Linked DNA regions of Canis lupus familiaris. The protein of the gene in region 2 binds, or shares a complex with, the protein of the main gene of each other region. Links are inferred from orthologs where the notes say so. Each region holds a gene or a part of one and is shown on either strand. Other genes may lie near its edges.

What was found. The genes of interacting proteins can lie anywhere in the genome.
Region 1: the proteins of NR0B2 (region 2) and NR5A2 are in contact, whole or in part, in a crystal structure (PDB 1YUC), measured with the Homo sapiens proteins. The link is inferred for Canis lupus familiaris from reciprocal best matches to the Homo sapiens genes NR0B2 and NR5A2. Residues at the interface, in NP_068804.1 of Homo sapiens: Arg17, Pro18, Ala19, Ile20, Leu21, Tyr22, Leu24, Leu25, Ser26, Ser27, Ser28; in NP_995582.1 of Homo sapiens: Phe354, Val357, Arg361, Phe366, Val371, Asp372, Gln374, Met375, Leu378, Gln379, Asn529, Asn530, Leu531, Glu534, Met535.
Region 3: the proteins of NR0B2 (region 2) and NR5A1 are in contact, whole or in part, in a crystal structure (PDB 1YMT), measured with the Mus musculus proteins. The link is inferred for Canis lupus familiaris from reciprocal best matches to the Homo sapiens genes NR0B2 and NR5A1. Residues at the interface, in NP_035980.1 of Mus musculus: Thr19, Ile20, Leu21, Tyr22, Leu24, Leu25, Ser26; in NP_001303616.1 of Mus musculus: Ile275, Val278, Arg282, Phe287, Val292, Gln295, Met296, Leu299, Gln300, Asn450, Leu452, Glu455, Met456.

The regions. Positions count from the first base shown.
Region 1 is NC_049228.1:2,806,501-2,812,154, reverse strand, and holds part of NR5A2 (nuclear receptor subfamily 5 group A member 2), read left to right. Parts: intron 1-864; exon of another isoform or gene 865-968; intron 969-2,081; coding exon 2,082-2,200; intron 2,201-3,754; coding exon 3,755-3,896; intron 3,897-5,654. UniProt on the Homo sapiens protein: Orphan nuclear receptor that binds DNA as a monomer to the 5'-TCAAGGCCA-3' sequence and controls expression of target genes: regulates key biological processes, such as early embryonic development, cholesterol and bile acid synthesis pathways, as well as liver and pancreas morphogenesis.
Region 2 is NC_049223.1:72,629,613-72,635,571, reverse strand, and holds NR0B2 (nuclear receptor subfamily 0 group B member 2), read right to left. Parts: upstream 3,672-5,959; 5' UTR 3,610-3,671; coding exon 3,069-3,609; intron 2,288-3,068; coding exon 1,989-2,287; 3' UTR 1,647-1,988; downstream 1-1,646. UniProt on the Homo sapiens protein: Transcriptional regulator that acts as a negative regulator of receptor-dependent signaling pathways. Specifically inhibits transactivation of the nuclear receptor with which it interacts.
Region 3 is NC_049230.1:58,557,654-58,563,307, reverse strand, and holds part of NR5A1 (steroidogenic factor 1), read right to left. Parts: intron 4,381-5,654; coding exon 4,261-4,380; intron 2,649-4,260; exon of another isoform or gene 2,636-2,648; coding exon 2,488-2,635; exon of another isoform or gene 915-2,487; coding exon of another isoform or gene 862-914; intron 521-861; coding exon of another isoform or gene 311-520; intron 1-310. Other genes in the region: uncharacterized protein LOC102151918, read left to right, coding at 311-520, 862-914. UniProt on the Homo sapiens protein: Transcriptional activator. Essential for sexual differentiation and formation of the primary steroidogenic tissues. Binds to the Ad4 site found in the promoter region of steroidogenic P450 genes such as CYP11A, CYP11B and CYP21B.

The DNA of each region.
Region 1 (5,654 bases), on a different chromosome or scaffold from region 2:
GCACAGCGGCGAGTGCCCAGCCAGCCCCCCGGACTCTGTCTTTGTCCCAGAGGGTCCCCCGCCTCCAGGCCCGGTCCTTTTGGGGGTTGGATCCCCGCGGTGGGCACCACATCCTCCTGCACACGTTTGCCTCGCTGTGCCCCGTAGGTGCGAAGTTAGGAGTTTACTTTGTTGGGCGAAGGGGGAATAGAAAAGGACACAGAGTGCAGTTTTTCCCCCCAAGCCTAACACACGCAAGTTTGGGGGAGAGCTGGGGCTGCTCACCGAGTTCTGGAACCCTCAGCTCCTCCAAGCCCCGAGCTGCGCCAGCCCCAGGCGCGACCTCGTAGGGCAGGCTCGGCCGGGAGGACCGCGCCCAGCATCCCCGCACTTGCCTCGTTCGGAGCCCCAAGCGCCTGCTTCCACCGCAACATCTTTCACGGGGGACCCCTCCCCGTGTCCCCAAACTCGGGCTCACTCACGCGGGGTGAAGCCCCAGGCCAGGGCTCCGCGTCTCGGGAAGAGGCGTCTGGACTCGGCCGGTCGGTGCGCGACCTCAGCCTCCCGGTGGTGCCGGTGACCTCGCCTCCCCCGGGGCCCCTTCCGGAGGCCTGCAGAATCCATGAAGTGAAAAAGAACTTTATTATTATTTAAAGAAAAAAAGAAAAAAGGCACAGAAAAAGAAGGCGTCCTGGGCAAAGAGGCCGCATTACGGTGATGGAGTGGCCGGGAACTTCGGGGATGCGGTGGGGGCCACTTCTCTCTTTCCTTTTTGGTAAACAAATCAGAGGAAACTTCTGTCCGGCCGTCGGCTCCCCCTCCCCCCGGCCCCCCTCCGCCCCGCCCCCTGCAAATGCCACTGATTAACTTAAGCTGGGCCGTGCGTGTGTGCCTGTGTGTCGCCGAGCGAGGAGCGAGGGGCGAGAGGCGAGTGCACCCCGGGCTTCGCGGGACGGTGGCGGGGCGCGCGGACCTGCCCCAAGCCGCAGGTGCCTGCCGTCCGCGCTCCCAGACGGGGCCCCCGTGGGTCCCAGGAAGGGAATGGGGCGGGTGTTGGCCTGGGGTCTCCCGGCCACTGTCCTGGCCGCGCGGCTTACCCATCTTTCAGCTGCAAGGGCGCCTTGGCAGGGCTGCGTCCGGCGGAAGGCGGGCGCTGGGTCCCCTCCGCGGGCCGCGCGCGCGTCCGGAGGCCCCACCGCTGCGTAGCAGGGGTCTCGAGGTGTCGCCGGTTTGCACTGCTGATCCGCACCGTGGGAACTCTATCGCAGGGCCTGACTTGAGGGCGACGCAGGACCTGTCTACTTTGCACCAGACCCTCCTGTGCATCCTTCTCTTTTTTTCTCTGTCTTCCGGGCGCCCTCCCTTCTTCTCCTCCTTTATCATTATCCTTTTTTACAGATTTTCAAATGTGGAGAGATGAAAGTATGCAGAACAGCAGCCCTGTCCATGCGGAGCTGAAGGTTTCAATTAATCCAGCAGATTGGAACGTAGGGAGCGGCGGGCTGTGGTTCCAGGGCGGCCGCTGCAGGGAGGCAGGCGCCCGGGGCTTCAGGGCGCGCGGCGAGGCTTTGCAGGTCGCAGCCGCGGGCCTGCTGAGCCAGGGCTGGCAGCCTCGGACCCCCCCGCAGGGCCGGAGCGGGTGTGCCCGTTTCCCTCCTCCGGGCGCGGGGGACACTTTGGGGTCTTGACTTCAGGAGGCTTTAAGGGGAGTTCCAGGTTGTTCCCTTTCTGCCTTTTCGCGTTTCCACCCTGATTTGCTGCCTGGGGCGGTTGTGAAAGAAGGCGTTCCACAGTGGTCAGTTTGAAATTCTTAACAACAGAAGTTGGAATTCTTTTTAAGTTTAAAAAAAAAAAAAAAAAAAAACAAAAAGAGAGAGAAGGAAGTGAAGTGCACGCTGGTGGAGTCCAAAAGATGTTTTATGTTCATTGCATAAAAATAGTTTTTCAGGGTGCCTAGGTGTTTTAAAAATATGTGTTTTTTATTTTATATTGTACCTGGGATGTTTGCCCACCAGTTAATTAACCAAAATGCTTTCTCACTGCAGGATTAAAACCTACCTAGTGAATTAATTAGCTATGTGTATACATTTCTTTTGTTTCAGTGTCTCAGTTTAAAATGGTGAATTACTCTTACGATGAAGATCTTGAAGAGCTCTGTCCGGTGTGTGGAGATAAAGTGTCTGGATACCATTATGGGCTCCTCACCTGTGAAAGCTGCAAGGTTTGCTTACACGTTGCTATGTGACAAATAGAAGGTTCAAAACCAAAATAAACCATTGGATTACTTTTTAGACCTAAATTTAGGCTGTCTTTTTTTGGACTCAATTAAAAATGAGAGAAAGAGTTAGTCTTAGGGAGATGATGTTTTGAAATATGTGTTTGATTTAATTCCAAAGGCAAAAAAAAAAAAATGTATGCTGTTTAGAAAACTTTGCCAGTCTCGTGGCTTTAAAATATTTTATGGTAGTAAAGTGATGTATCTGTAGAAAGACTTCTCTTTCTAACAGTCCTAAATATTGATTTTGCTTGACTTATATATATTTAAAGCACCGTTGTTCTTGAGAGGGAACATGACAAAGTATTTCCTAAATATATTTTAACTTCAGGGTATTCTGTGCTGCGAGTCTAAACATTTTTTATCCACAGATAAAAGTCTAAATTCTCAACCGTGTGATTTTTATCCTGATTTATTCCAAAAACAGTTTTTAAGATTTTTTGAAATTATATCATAAAGAATAAGAATCCACATCTCAGTTTATAGTAAGAGTGGCTTTCATAAATAAATTATATGACCTATTTAAATGCAAGAAGTTTTAACATGTAAAATGTACTTATATTGTTCATAATAATCTCAACCATAGATCAAGAATTTATCTTAGATCTTTTTGATATATTCCCAGTCAACTTGATACTTGGTATTTCTCAACATTTTTTAAAGTAGAAAGCTCAATTACAAATACTTAAACCATCGCCAGGAAAAATCCCTTCATTCTCTGTAACAAAGTAAGATCGTTTCACTTTATGGCTAGTAGGATAAACATAAAGAATGTACCATCCTGGTAAAGCTGTTATTGTATTATGAAGCTAACAAAATTTGTTTTTGATAAATTCTTTTGGGTGCAATACAAGAAAAGCACACTGCTAAAATTTAGCTCTCTGCTACACATGCTTTTCTTTGCCATTAGTTTCAACTTTTTTTTTTTTTTTACAGAGTTACAACTTGAATGTATTCCAATGGAATTATGAACACTTTCCCATTTTACTCTTTAAATCTTTTTGCTTTTAACATATCTAGTGCTGACATTTGTAAAAAAAAAAAAAAAAAAAAAAAAATCTGGGGTGTTTTGCTATTCAGATTTTCCACTGGCATTTTACAATGGTTTGCCACTAAAATTCTATCACACTGCTTACAAACAGTACAGATCTCCATGAGCAACTTTCTGGAATATGAAGTTAATAAGAAAACAGATTTAAAAAGATACTGGTTAATATAGAATGTGTTTTTCTCTGACTGTTGAGATGAAATGGTATGTATCCAAATCTTCCTAAGATTTGTTGTAATTCTAGGAATATAACTCCAGTACTAGAAAAATCTCCACTTTGGCCCAGTGCTGTTTTGGAGGGTTGGTCTTGTTAAAGTGTAAGACAAACCACAGAGCCACGGAAGGGCTCATTGGTTCAATGAAAAGATTTATTGGTGATTTCCTTAAAATGAAACAATGGAAGAGACGGTGTTAGATTTATAATATGTCTCACTATTTTCTCTGTTTTGTAGGGATTTTTTAAGCGAACAGTCCAAAATAATAAAAGGTACACATGTATAGAAAACCAGAACTGCCAAATTGATAAAACACAGAGAAAGCGTTGTCCTTACTGTCGATTTCAAAAATGTCTAAGTGTTGGAATGAAACTAGAAGGTAAGTTTCTTCCAAAGACTACTGCCTGTTAAAATTCTCCAAGGACATAGGATTTAAAATAACATTGTACTTCCAATATGGTAACATTATTTTCCTAGTCTTTTAACACCATGGACAATAATGTAAGATATTTTTTTATGTTTTGTCAGCAGAACAGTCTGAGGATCATTTAAACACTGGTGAAGTCTACTAGGAAAAAAACTTATAAATATTGGAGTTTCCCTTCCCCCACCTTTAAAAAATTTTTAGTTTGGGGAGCAGATGGATTTGACACTAAAAAGGCCTGGTTAGGGATCCCTGGGTGGCTCAGCGGTTGAGCGCCTGCCTTCGGCCCAGGGTGTGATCCTGGAGTCCCAGGATCGAGTCCCACATCGGTCTCCCTGCATGTAGCCTGCTTCTCCGCCTCTCTCTGTCTCTCTGTGTCTTTCATGAATAAATGAATAAAATCTTTAAAAAAATAAAAAGGCCTGGTTAGATAAAAACAAGACTAAAGCTATTCAACTGAGAACAAATTTTTAAAATTTGCAAAACTTAAAAAAAAATACGTGACGTTTTCAAACCAAGGATGTTCTAGTAAAAAATCTAGTAGAAGTCTGATTTTAATCCTTTAAATTCTTCCCTTGTCACAATTGTTACTATTAATTTCATGACTCCTGGGCAAGAATTACAGCCTTTCATTGTGAAATGGAGTCTCTTGTGTGGAGAGTATCATTTTTGATAATGTGGGAAAACACGTTTCTTTTATTTTTTTTTTTTAAGATAATGACGAAAGCTGCAAAATGAAGTTGAAAAGTAGGAAACATGAAAAATAATGAGCTATTAAATCAGTAACATTGGTTTGACAGGAATAAGATAGTGGTTCCCCAAAAGCCATGTTAAATTTTATGTTGTGAGAGTAGAACTGGTACTTACAATGTACAGATTGGCAGGGAGTAAAGTTATTATGTGATCACTGTAAATAATCTGTAGTTCATGGACTATTATGGTGTGTTGCTGTTTTTTAGCCTCCAGCCTACTGACTTTCCACAGATCAACTCTAGTGCAAATAAAAAATAATCAAGGATACACATCACTTATTTGCCACATACAAGCGTGCATTTTATTTGATCATTGAGGCACAGGCTATTTTTGTTTGGAGCCTTCCTGTTATGTGGCTCTCAGACTTGATAGAAATGCTCAAAAGATTTCCGGCAAATCTGCCGAAGTGCTTGTAGATTCTTTCCCAATATAAGTAGCCACTTTGGTTATGATTAGAACTGTTAACTCTGTCTTGCTTTAGGAAGAGATTGAGAACAAGATCAAGAAAGAAATGCTCATTAATTTCTTTATTACCAATCACTTTATTATTTTCCAAACAGCCAAATATTGTGGGAGATGCATACTATAGTAGGAGACTCAAAAGGTAAAATGTCAAAGAATAAATATGGGATGCCTGGATGCCTCAGTGGGTAGAGCATGGGTCTCTTGATCTCACCGAGTTGTGAGTTCAAGCCCCACACTGGGCAGGGAGCCTACTGAAAAAAACAACACACACACAAGTAAATGTTGTGGTTTCAAATGGTGTCTCACTTGATTATTTCTTCTTCTTCTTCTTCTTCTTCTTCTTCTTCTTTTTTTAATGAGGGGAAAGGGTTGCATTTCTTTACCTTAAAAAGTATTAGTAATTGTAAGTCACTTGTGGGGCATAACTATAAACTATACTTCCTTAGCAGTAATATGGAACAGTTGAATATTCAATAAATTATCATCCAGATGAAA
Region 2 (5,959 bases):
ACAGCCTGTCTAGGAGGAGGGTAGATGTTGGGATCACCATGGGGGAGATTGGTGAGCTTAGGACCCAAATGCCAACCAGAGCAGTTTGGCCGGGATTAGCAGGCTCTGGGTCGACCTAAGAGATGTACAGATATAGGTGTGTTTACTTTGGGGGCCATTTTTCTTTCTCCTGTGACATACAGAAAATGGAGAACATGTCCCAGTGTGAAGGTATCTCCATACTGTGTGCCCCACCCTGAAGCATAGGGATGGATGTGTGAGCATCTGGCTCTGGGGCTGTCTCTGCTGTCATGTGTTTGGGTCTACTGTATGTCACCGAGTGTGTCTTGGCTGTGCATTTCCATGCTGTGTGTGGGTAGATGGTGGGTCTGTTTTAAGGGTCTGTGTAGGTATCTCTGATTTGTATATGTTAGTGTGCATGTGTGTAAGAGTTGTAGGTCTGAGTTGTGTGTCTTTGTTGTGGGGTGTGAGCTGTATGTTTCTGTCACTCTGGGTGTCTGAGTGGTGAGCAGGTGATTGGTTAAGGGACAGGGTTGCCCTTTCTGCTGGCACTGGGTGCCCATAATGGGCATATGGCTGGTTCAACTGTGGTCCTATCCTGGGGGCCTTCGGGAGAGGCCTGAATGGCAGCTCTTCAACTGTTGTTCCTGAGCGAATGACCTCTCATTAAGCAATAATTAACTTGGCCCCATGAAGAGAATCCAAACTGATGGCAAAGGGGGTGGGACTGGTAAGGACAAGCCTTATTGCTAAAGGAAGGGGGAGGCTTGCTGGGGGATCCTATAGGCATGTGTGTCGTTATCATTCCCTGCTGCTTACAGGTCAGTCACCCGAACCTGTGTGATATTCAAAATATTTAACAAACAGTGAGCCACAGACATTGACCAATCAGAACAGACACCAGCCATGCTCTGAATGGAGCAGTGCTGGAGGCCATGGCTATACCAGCCATCACCTCTCTAGGTGTTGGCCAATGAGGATGGATTCCAGGTGAAGGGCCGGGACAGAGAGGCCATGGGAGGGGACTTGGGGGGACTCAGGGCAGTCGCTGTGAACCAACTACCATGGAAGAGTCTCAGACTCTTAACAGCCATTGTGGTAGCTAGACCTCAGTGGGCCTTGGGCTCCAGGCAGCTGTGTGGGGCCAGCCCTGGGTTCCCTTGCCCCTCCCATTGGGACAGCAGTGGACTGTCTTCTACTGTCATCTGCAGGAATGGGCAAGTGAATGATCCCAAACTGCAGAAATTCCCGTGACCTTGACCTTGCCTGTTTAAATTTGAGAATGGGCTGCTTCATATTCCTTACTGGCTGTGATCTGACTTTTGTTGAGGTGAGAGGGAGCCTGTATGGCTCAGAAGCCAAGAGAGGGGTTAGCGATCCCCACAAGGGGATCAAGAAGAGACACTCTCAGCCCTAAAGATAAAGGCAAGGAAGTAAGGGGGCCTGAACTGATCCTAGTCCCTGTGCAAAATAAATCTCATCCCTCAAGATGAAATAATCATCCTGCCCTGAAAAATTAATATCCCAGTTCCCTGAGGGCTGGCTCCAGCACTCCTTATGATTCCTTCCTCCTGAACTCCTGATAGTGGCAGAGTGGGCCCTGGAGGTGGGACAGTCCCTTCCATGTACAAATTACAGTGTCAGGCTCCAAGGGTATCATGCCTTTTATTACAAAAACCAATAACTTAAATCATTTCTGTACAAAGTCAGTAGGACTTGTCCCATTGAGCAACCTAACTGCCATCCCCATCTCAGAAGGGGTCAGGAGTCTTAGCCCAGAAGCCAGAGGACCACTCCAGTTCCAGACAGCTGGAGCGCCATGTCAAACCAAGAAAGGCCAGTGGGGGCCGTGTGGTGAGTGAGGTGGGGGGTGCCCCTAGCCCATCTCTCTGGGGCAGGACAGGCTTGTTCCAGGGAGGCTGAGTGCTGCCTGTACAAACTTGCTCCCTCTGGGGGCAACAGGTAGCCCTGGGGACAGCTGGGCCAAATCAGTGCTGCCAGCCTTTGCCCAACCTCCACTTGATCTCTGCCTGGGCTGGAACAGGTTGGCTCAACAAAAGCATGTCCTCAAGGAGGCCAGCGATGTCAATGTCTCCAACAATAGGGCGGAAGAAGAGGTCCCCAAGGAGGCTGGGCGGGATGGACTTGAGGGTGGAGGCTGTGAGGAGGACACGGGCCAAGCGGCCTTGGCCTGCTGGGCACCAGGGCTCCAGGGCCTCACATAGCGCATGATGAGCCTCTTCCTGCAGGTGTCCGATGTGGGAGGAGGCGTGGAGGCCTGGCAAGCCTGTGGGCAGAGAGGGTGAAGAGGGCGGGTGAGTACCCCACTCCCAGGCAGCAATATTGGCCCAAGACCGGAGGTCACTGGCTTGGCCTTTGAGGCCCCATTACTACCTCCTCCATTTATGTGTTTATCACTTTATTTATCCATCCATTTATGGGGCAGCCCAGAGTAATGGTTAAGAGCCAGGCAGCCCGGGTTTGAATCCCATGCTGTCACTCACTGGCTGTATGACCTCAGATATGTTAATATCTGTGCCTCAGTTTTCTCATCTGTAAAATGGGGATAATAATACCTATCTCCTAGGCATGTTATGAAGTTTAAGTCAGCTAGTATATTCAAAACCCTTATAATTGGGCCTAATATATGGTAAATGTAATATGAATATTCATTACTATCACTATAATTAATTACCATCATTTATGCATTCTACGAGGGCTTTTTGATGAGGAATTCTCATCTCACATTTTCATTCTTCTCCATGGGGTCTTTCTGAACCCACAGGGTTTTACCTGTGACAGAGGCAGAGTTGTGTCTGCTCACCTTCCCTGACAGTCAGGGCAAGTTTCTTAGGCAGAGTGGCATGGACCAGTCTCTGGAGGGAATAAACCTGAGTTCCCATCCCTGCTTTGCCCCTACCGAGGCTGTGTGACCTTCAGCAAAACACTTAACCTCTCTGGGAGGTGACTTTTGGGGATAATGAGGACCCAAAGAGAAAACGGGTGTCAAGCCCTTAGAAGATGCCTTCCCTGCCTGGGTCCCCATCCAGGAATGTCTGGAAGCTCACCAGGATTGAAGAGGATGGTCTCTTTCAGGTAGGCGTATTCCTTGGGGCCCAGCTCCAGGCTCCAGAAGGACTCCAGGCAGCACTGAAGCCACTGTACGGCAGCCAGTGAGGGCTGGGGCCGATCGGGCAGCTGGCCGCTGTGTGCACCACTACTGGGCTCCTCCAGCAAGATCTTCTTGAGTATGCTGGGAACCGGCGCCTCAGCCACCTCGAAAGTCACAGTGTCTTGGGCCAACCCCAGCAGGAAGAGGGGGCCCCAGCAGACCCGCAGCAGCAGCTGCTGATCTTGAGGGGGCAGCTGGCAGAAGGACGGCAGGTTCTTGAGGAAGACTACTGTCCTGGCCAGAACATCCAAGGCCTCCCGGCAGGTGCGATGCGGGGCACACAGCCGGACGGGCCGGTGCTGTCTGCACAAGCAGCGACTCTGAACCGGGGGCACTGGGGGCCTGGCCGTGAGGCTGGGGCTCAGAAGTGCATAGAGAATGGCTGGGCGGCCTGCAGCACCCTGACACGGGCAGGTCCCTGGCTGGCTGGAGCTCATGGTTGGGGATCTGCTCCTTCTTCCTCCCAGCTCTCCCGCTTCTGCCCTCTGCTGTGTGCTGGGTGCTATTTATATTCCCCCAGTGGGAGGGACGGTGGGTGGGGGCAGGAGGGACGGCCTGACAACCTTGACTCCAGAAGTCATGTTCATTGAAAAAAAAAAACACGCACTGACCCTGCAGGATTGGTGGGGAAGTGGCGGGGGAGGGGGCTTTGGGAGTTCCACGTGGCCCTGATATCACTTCAGTCAATGAAGCAGCCTGTGCAGGGCACAAGGCTGCCTGCCCGCTGGCCCGGCTGCCCCTTATCAGATGACTCAAGTGGATAAACAGGGTCATTAACCCAGGCTGTACCGAGGCACCAAGGCCTCAGGTGCACAATCAGCAGGTGGCCATTGCAGGTGTCCCTATTGGTGCCTGCAAGACTGGCGCTAAGCTGGGAGGCCAGCCCCGGAGCTGGACGAGCCTTGAATGCAAGGCCCAACCTGGAAGTGCCTTATCAGGGACTTGTTTGCCTAACCTTGGGGCTCTGCTCCTGTTGTTGGTAAGGAACAGGCTGCGGGAACGGAGCCAGGACCCTGGGGGGCTGGAAGGACTTTGCCCACTGTGCAGGCCAGGAGGCCTCCCTCTCCCGACTCAGTTCTGGGGCCCCTCCAGAAATAAGGTACCTAAGAACTTCTCTCTCCTTAGCCTGGATTTCTAAAGTTCCCAAAAGGCTGTCTCTGCTGAGAAGCCCTCACAGAATGAGAATAAAGTTTGGCTGCTATTTATTGAGCACCTACTGTGTGCTAGGCACTTTCCATTCTAATACTCAGAGCTTCCCCATGAGGCAAAATTCTTACTTTTTGAAACTGAAAGAGGTGAAGTGACTTGCCCAAGGTCATGTTAAGTTTTTTAGTAACTAGATGGAAATGAGACCGCCAAGGCAAGCGAGGGTCCAAGAACAGATTTTATTGCAGGCACCCTCGGGCGAGGTTCCACGACTCACGGGGGAAAGAGAGTGAGTCGAGGAAGTCGCGCCAAGACAAGGTGGTAGGGGGTTTACATAACGTTGTAAGGCAGAACGGTTTCCTATTGGTTGGCTCATATGCAAAGGAAGGATTGCAATCCAACCAGTCAGAGTGACCCTCACTATGCAAAGGAAGGATTGCAATTCGACCAGTCAAAGGTGACTTCCTCCTCTGGGGTTTGAAGGGCATTGGGTTCGGTTGGGGAAGTCCAAAGGAGAGGTGTAAGGGTCTGCTCAAGCTGTCAGCAGGTCATTGGTCCATTGGCGTCCCAAGTGGAGGTGGTGACAGGAACCCCAGCCATTTTGGCGTATCCGCCATCTTGAGGAGTTTCCCTTCCCGCCTGGCCCCAACAGGTCACACCAGTAAGAGGAGACAGAGCCCAGATCTGTCTGACTCTAAAGTCCTTACTTGCTCCCCTGGACCCACTCTCCTGATGGTGCAGTCCCAAGCTGTGTGACCTGTTTCCCAGAGCTGGTGGCTACCTGGGTCCCCACCTTGCAGCTGCCTGGTCAACAATGTTGCCTACTTACGATCTGGGTAGAAATGTTGCGCTGCCGCCAGCCACATGGCAACTCTGTCCTGGGCATCTGTCTCAGGATGGTGGGGCACGGGGTGTGAGAGAGGGTGGGAAGGTCCTGGGCTGTGCCATGTCCATGAACCTTGGCAAACCCAGCTTGGCAAGCCTTCTGCCAGCACACTATTGGGCAGCCGTCACCATCCCTGGCACTTGCTCCTGGCTCTATCATTTTCCAGTTGTGTGACCTTGGGCTGATCCCTGTAGGCCTCAGGAGCTTCATCTGGGAATCTGGGACAATAAAAAAGTGAAGTCCTGGATGTGAAATTCCAAGCAGTTTCTGGCATACAGTAGGAGGACTTTGCTCCTCCCTTTCCTCTGCCTGAGGAACCTAAACTCCAGCAGACAAGTGTGCATTTTTATTCTAATTGTGAATAATCTTAATCCCCACATTTGTAAAGTTCTTTTCATCTCACCGAGTCCTCAGTGCCCCTCCCCTGGAAGGGGACTCTGGAGTCAAACTTCCTGGCTTCAAATCCTGCTTCATCCGGGCAGCCGGGGGGGCTCAGTGGTTTAGTGCTGCTTTCAGCCCAGGACCTGATCCTGGAGACCAGCGATCGAGTCCCACGTCAGGCTCCCTGCATGGAGCCTGCTTTTCCCTCTGCCTGTGTCTCTGCCTCTCTTTCTCTCTCTCTCTCTCTCTGTGTCTCTCTCATGAATAAATAAATAAAATCTTAAAAAAACAAAAAACAAATCCTGCTTCATCACTTAGTGACATTGGGTGAGTCACTTTATATTTCTGTGTCTCAGTTTCCTCATCTTTAAAGG
Region 3 (5,654 bases), on a different chromosome or scaffold from region 2:
TAATGAGGGTTAGAAGGAAAACAATACCGATGTACATTCCAAGAGGCCAGGCCCCACACTGACACCGGGGGGATTCCCTCATGAAATCCTCATAGCAAACTAAGGATTATTTTGATGATCATCTTCCAGATGGGAAAATAGAGGCTCTTGGAGAGAGGGGAGGGACTTGCTCTAGGACACACAGTCCAGATTTAGAATCCAGGTGGTCCATCCCTAGTCCGCATTCCTGACTACTGTTCCGCCCTGCCTCGCAGGTGTACACACATGCATACATACATGCTCACTCTCCCTCCTGCATCCCACCCTCCAGCCTATGCCAGCCAAGCACTGGAGATAGCCCCTGCCTCAGGCCCCCAGCTGCCCACTCTGGAGAACATAATGAAGACTAGTGAGAAGGAGGGGCCGGCACTCAGGCTTTTGAGCGTGGCCACTCACCCTGGCCAGACCGGGAGAAGAGGGCCGGGCTCTGCTTTGCCGTCCTTACACTCCATACAAGGAGGAGCCCTGGATTTATGGCCTGGTGAGGGCCAGAGGTGTGCTGACCCTGGCAGTCCCCAGCACCCGGGACCCTGTTGGGAAGAGAGGCGGGGGCTGCAGGGGTATGCCTCGGGCCCTAGGGGGGTCTGGAAAGCCAAGACCTGGCACCCGCTTCACAGGGAGGCCTGGCCAAGAAGACTGGTGGCTGGCAGCCCACCATCCACCCACCCCTCCTCTAGACCTCCTGAAGGCCTCTTGATGGTGGTCGGGTCAAGAACTATTGCTTCACACATCACCCAGACCACCACAGACACCACACTCCTAATTCTATACGCGCTCCAAATCTCTCCTATCTCCAAATCTCCTCTAACTCTCCGATTACAGATCCTTTATACAACACGATGTGTAAGAAGCCGCCAGCCCATGAGAGTTCATAGCCTGCACGTGCGTGAAAACAAAGGCACCGACGCAAAGGCACAAAGATTCACAGAACTCCTGGAGTCTCCACACCCCAAACCGCACACAACCACTGGCCAAAGCCAGTTCCCAGAGCTTGGCAGCTCACAAAGACCAGGGGAGCCACCAGAGGCCAGAAGGAACGGCATCTCCCCCAGCTGCAGCCAGCCTGGCCCGGGCCCCCGAGGCCCCTCCACAGGCTCCAGGCCACCGCTCCTAACTGGCTGCCCTGGATTCTGCCCCCGCCCCGCACCATGGTTGTCCCCTACCAAGCCCTGCAGCCTTGCACAGAAGCCCTCCAGCTACCAGGCTGCGGGGCCAGAGTCAGGAGACCAGCCCCTGTGGCCATAGCCCGAGGACTGGGCTTCCCACAAGCCACACTTCATCAGTTACCCCTCTCTGCCCAGCTCTCCCCACCCTTGGGCAGGCACTCCCTTGCCAGACTGGGGCTATGATGTCAGCAGCCACCAAGATGACATCTGAATCCTGCCCCCTGTTCTGACCTTCCATCCCATCCGCACTTCTGCTGGAAGATATATCCCTCCCGCAAACTCCTACTCCTCTTCCAAGACCCCATTCAAAATTCCCTCTTCCAGGAAGCCTTCCAGGCAGAGCCCTTGCTCCCCACTCTGGGTTCCCCATCTCTCTGTCCCCGCCCCTGATGAAGGCCTCTACTGGGCTGGGAGCCACCTGACAGCAGGGGCTCGTCTGTGTTCACAGCGTTGCTGGACACAGCCAGGAGGCACCGGAGGTGGCTTGCTAGGTGAGGGAGGACAGGAGGCCGGCCGGGGAGAGCCCCGAGGAGGGTGGAGGCTGCGGGGTCAGGAGGGCAATGAGAGGGAGACCCCCGGCTCGGGGGCTGCCACCTCCCTGGGTTACTTTCCTCTTTAGCACTCATCACAGGATTCTAGGCCATGCGTGTCGGTAATCATTTCATCCATCTCTATAGCCGACTAATGACATCATGCTTGTCTTTCTCCTGAGAGAAGGTCAGCTCCATGACAATCCAGGTGTGGGACTTATCCTGTTTGCCTTGTGTCTCTAGGGCCTTGCAGAGCACAGATGCTCAGTAAGAGGTTGTAGAGTGAATACATGAGTGAGTGAACAAATGAATGGGTAAAGGTTCTGGGCCCCCCCCCACCATCTCCTCAAGCAGGGAACCGGGAAAACAAGGCCCCCAGGATAGGAGCCAGGGAACAGAGAGCCTGAAACCCCACAGGTGTCTGTCTAGAGGTGGCCTGGGCGCTCTTTTAGGGCTTCCAGCCAGGAATTGACCAAATTATCAGGAGTCCTTGTCCCACAAAGGGCAAATCTTAGGCACTGTCTTGGTCGTCTGTACTCCCAAACCGAGAAACTGAGGCCCCGAGAGGAAACAGCTTCCATTTGAAGAGCCAGGCCTGGGCCAGGTCCCTTTAGACCCTTACTCATCGTAGGAGGGGTCCCTGCGCCACCAAAGCCCCCACCCTAGGGCAGAACCTCACGTCAGCCTCTGGGTGCCGGGCCCGCCACCCACCTTGCCCCCTCGCCGCCCCAGGCCGGGCCAGGCCCACTCACCGAGGCTGAAGAGGATGAGGAATTTGAGGCAGACAAACTCCTGGCGGTCCAGCTGCAGAGCGTGCAGCTGCAGCACCAGCTCCTGCGCCCGCAGGACCAGGCTGTGCAGCAGGGAGCCCGCCTGGGCCGCCACCGTGCTCATCTCCACCTGCACAGGCGGATGTCAGGGTCAGGGAGCACCCAGCAGAGGGCCCGGAGTGGGGGGGTCAGGGGCTGGGGGTTGGGGTGCCCATCCTTGGAGCTGCGCCAGATGGGGGCAGCATCTCCTCACACCCCAGAAACCCTCCAAACCCCACAGCATGGGCCCCACATGCTCAGAGCTCCTTATGCTCGGTGGTACAAGTGGCTTTTGCATTTTGTGTGGTACAGGGAGCAAACACCACGTCATGCTGGGTGTTGTGGAGCAGGGTCGGGGCAGGTGTGCCTGGACATACATGGACACAGCCACATGACTGCCCAGGTCCCCACACACCCACACGTGGACACTCAGACTGAGGATGCGGTCACACCTCGGCTCACATTCACACACACTCATAGGGCAGTCCACCCATTTCATAACGTGAACGCACGTACACACACGCCCTCATATGGTCATATCACAAGGTAATGGGACAGGCACCCATGTATGAGTTCCCACACAAGGTGGCAGGGAGATCTCACCACCACACACTTACAATGTGTGGAGATATCTGTACAATAAAATACAGGTATGCACGTGCACACACACACACACACACACACACAGGACATCCCCATGGTCTCGGAGACTCCAGCCTGCGTGATGACATAGGCCAATACCAACACGCTTTCATACCTCAGGCTCTCCTATCTGCATTCACAGGTGGTCTCCAAGTCACACCCTGGAGACCAGCAGTCCCCTGCCCTGGATGTCCTGAGACCCCCAAGATAAGAACTGAGCATGAGGACCAAGGGCCCGGGTTGGAGACGGGATGGGGAGCAGGGCCTCGGCCTCCAACCTCCACCCCCACAGGGCCTGCCAACCACTCTTCCTCGTGACTCCCCCTTGGGAGCGATGCTCCTTCCACCAGCCTCGACCCTGGCATCAGCCTCTTCTTTTTCTCCCTCCTCCCCTCCATGTCTCCCACACCTCCTCCCACCAGTTGGGGGTCCTTCTCCCAGGTTCCCAGCATTCCACCGTGGCCTTGACTTCTTCACCCCCCATTTTGCCCCCATGGTGTGCTTCCTCAAGTACAACCTGAGTGAGCCTTTCCTCACTTAAAGCTACTGTTGCTCCCTGCTTGATCCCAGGAGTTCCCAGCTCGTATCCTAGTGCCCCAAATTCCCTGCTGGGGGGTGCAAATTCCTTCACTTGCTCCTTTATTCATTCAGGATTTAGGGCCTACCTCCAGCCTTCCTTCTTACCTCACAGGGCTCCTGGCCCCCCAAATCTACATATTAGTGCCCATGTACCAGCAGCCCCTGGTGCTGTCCTAAACACCCTGTGCACCTTCACCCATGTTGTCCCCTCTGCTCTGGTGGGGTGGAACTGCCCCCCCCCTTTTACTACCTTTTACTACCTGACCAACTCCTATTTGTTCTTTCAAGACCCCCCACCTTCTTCAAGAGCCTCACTGACCCTCCCCACATCCCTAAGCTGCTTCCCAGGGGCTGGTTCCTGTCAAGGCCAGGAACTCAGCTGGTCAGAGGGAGGTCAGGCAATTGAGGAAGGGCTGAGCCAGCCCCCAATTCTGGGCTCAGAATTCTGGAAATATGCTTTAGGACAAGGCACAGGGCACAATAGGGTCTGGTCACCTCCTGCCCGGTGACCAGCAGGATGCTGCCATCCTTGCCATGTTGGATCTGGCGGTAGATGTGGTCAAACACCAGCAGCTCACTCCAGCAGTTCTGCAGCAGTGTCATCTGGTCAGCCACCTGGAGGGAAGAGGCATGTGTGGGTCCGGGATCCAGCCAGGTCCGTCCCTCTCCCAACTCACGATTCAGAGGCTCACTTGGATATGTGACCTGAGCAAGCCACTTCACCTCCTTTTGTTTTTTTTAATTTATGATAGGCACAGAGAGAGAGAGAGAGAGAGAGAGAGGCAGAGACACAGGCAGAGGGAGAAGCAGGCTCCACGCACCGGGAGCCCGACGTGGGATTCGATCCCGGGTCTCCAGGATCGCGCCCTGGGCCAAAGGCAGGCGCCAAACCGCTGCGCCACCCAGGGATCCCACCACTTCACCTCTTGATGCCCTTTTTGCCTATCTGCCTACTTTGTCAAAGTGTAGCAGAGATCAAGTAAATAAATAGATAGATAGAAAGAAAAGATCCAGTGGAAGTGCTCAGAACTCAGCCAGGCTTGGCTTCGGGCCCTCGCTCTCCTCCGACAAGCTGTGTGACCTGAAGCAATTTCTAAAGCCTTCTGAGCCTCGGTTTTCTCCTCTGTGGAGGGGGCAAAGCATCAGAAGGGGGTTTGGCACATACTGAGCACTTGATAAATATTAGTGGATAATGTTCATGGAAGTAGTTTGTGAAGAACTCCTTTAAATGTGAGGGAAGAGGGATCCCTGGGTGGCGCAGCGGTTTGGAGCCTGCCTTTGGCCCAGGACGCGATCCTGGAGACCCGGGATCGAATCCCACGTCGGGCTCCCGGTGCATGGAGCCTGCTTCTCCCTCTGCCTGTGTCTCTGCCTCTCTCTCTCTCTCTCTGTAACTATCATAAATTAAAAAAAAAAATTAAATGTGAGGGAAGATTATTATTAATTTTAATCTTATGCTCATTTGGCCTGTAGTCACATCTCCAGCAGCCTCAATAGCTCAAAAAACAAGTCATGAAGAGCAAACACAGGGCTTCCCCTGGGCCTTATACAGAGCTTTCAGGCTCATGGAAAGAAAGGAGGGCCCTCCTGGCCTGTGGTCCAACCCAGAATGAGCAGGTGGCTGGCAATGGTTCGTCTGAAGCAGAAACAAAACAAAGAAAGAGGCGGGTTCTGAATACCCAGGCTGTAGTCAGGGCACCCAGTGCAAGGACAGGGACTGCCTCTGTGTGGGGTGTCCTTCCACCCTGGAGGGTCACTAGCATGGCAAGAATGGACACTCGTGACAATGGTGAGTGGGACTCAGGACCATGGGATGCCAGAGCCTAAACGGCCCTCAGGGATCATGCCCCTGGCCCAAACTGCTATTTTTTTTTTTAAACTGCTATTTT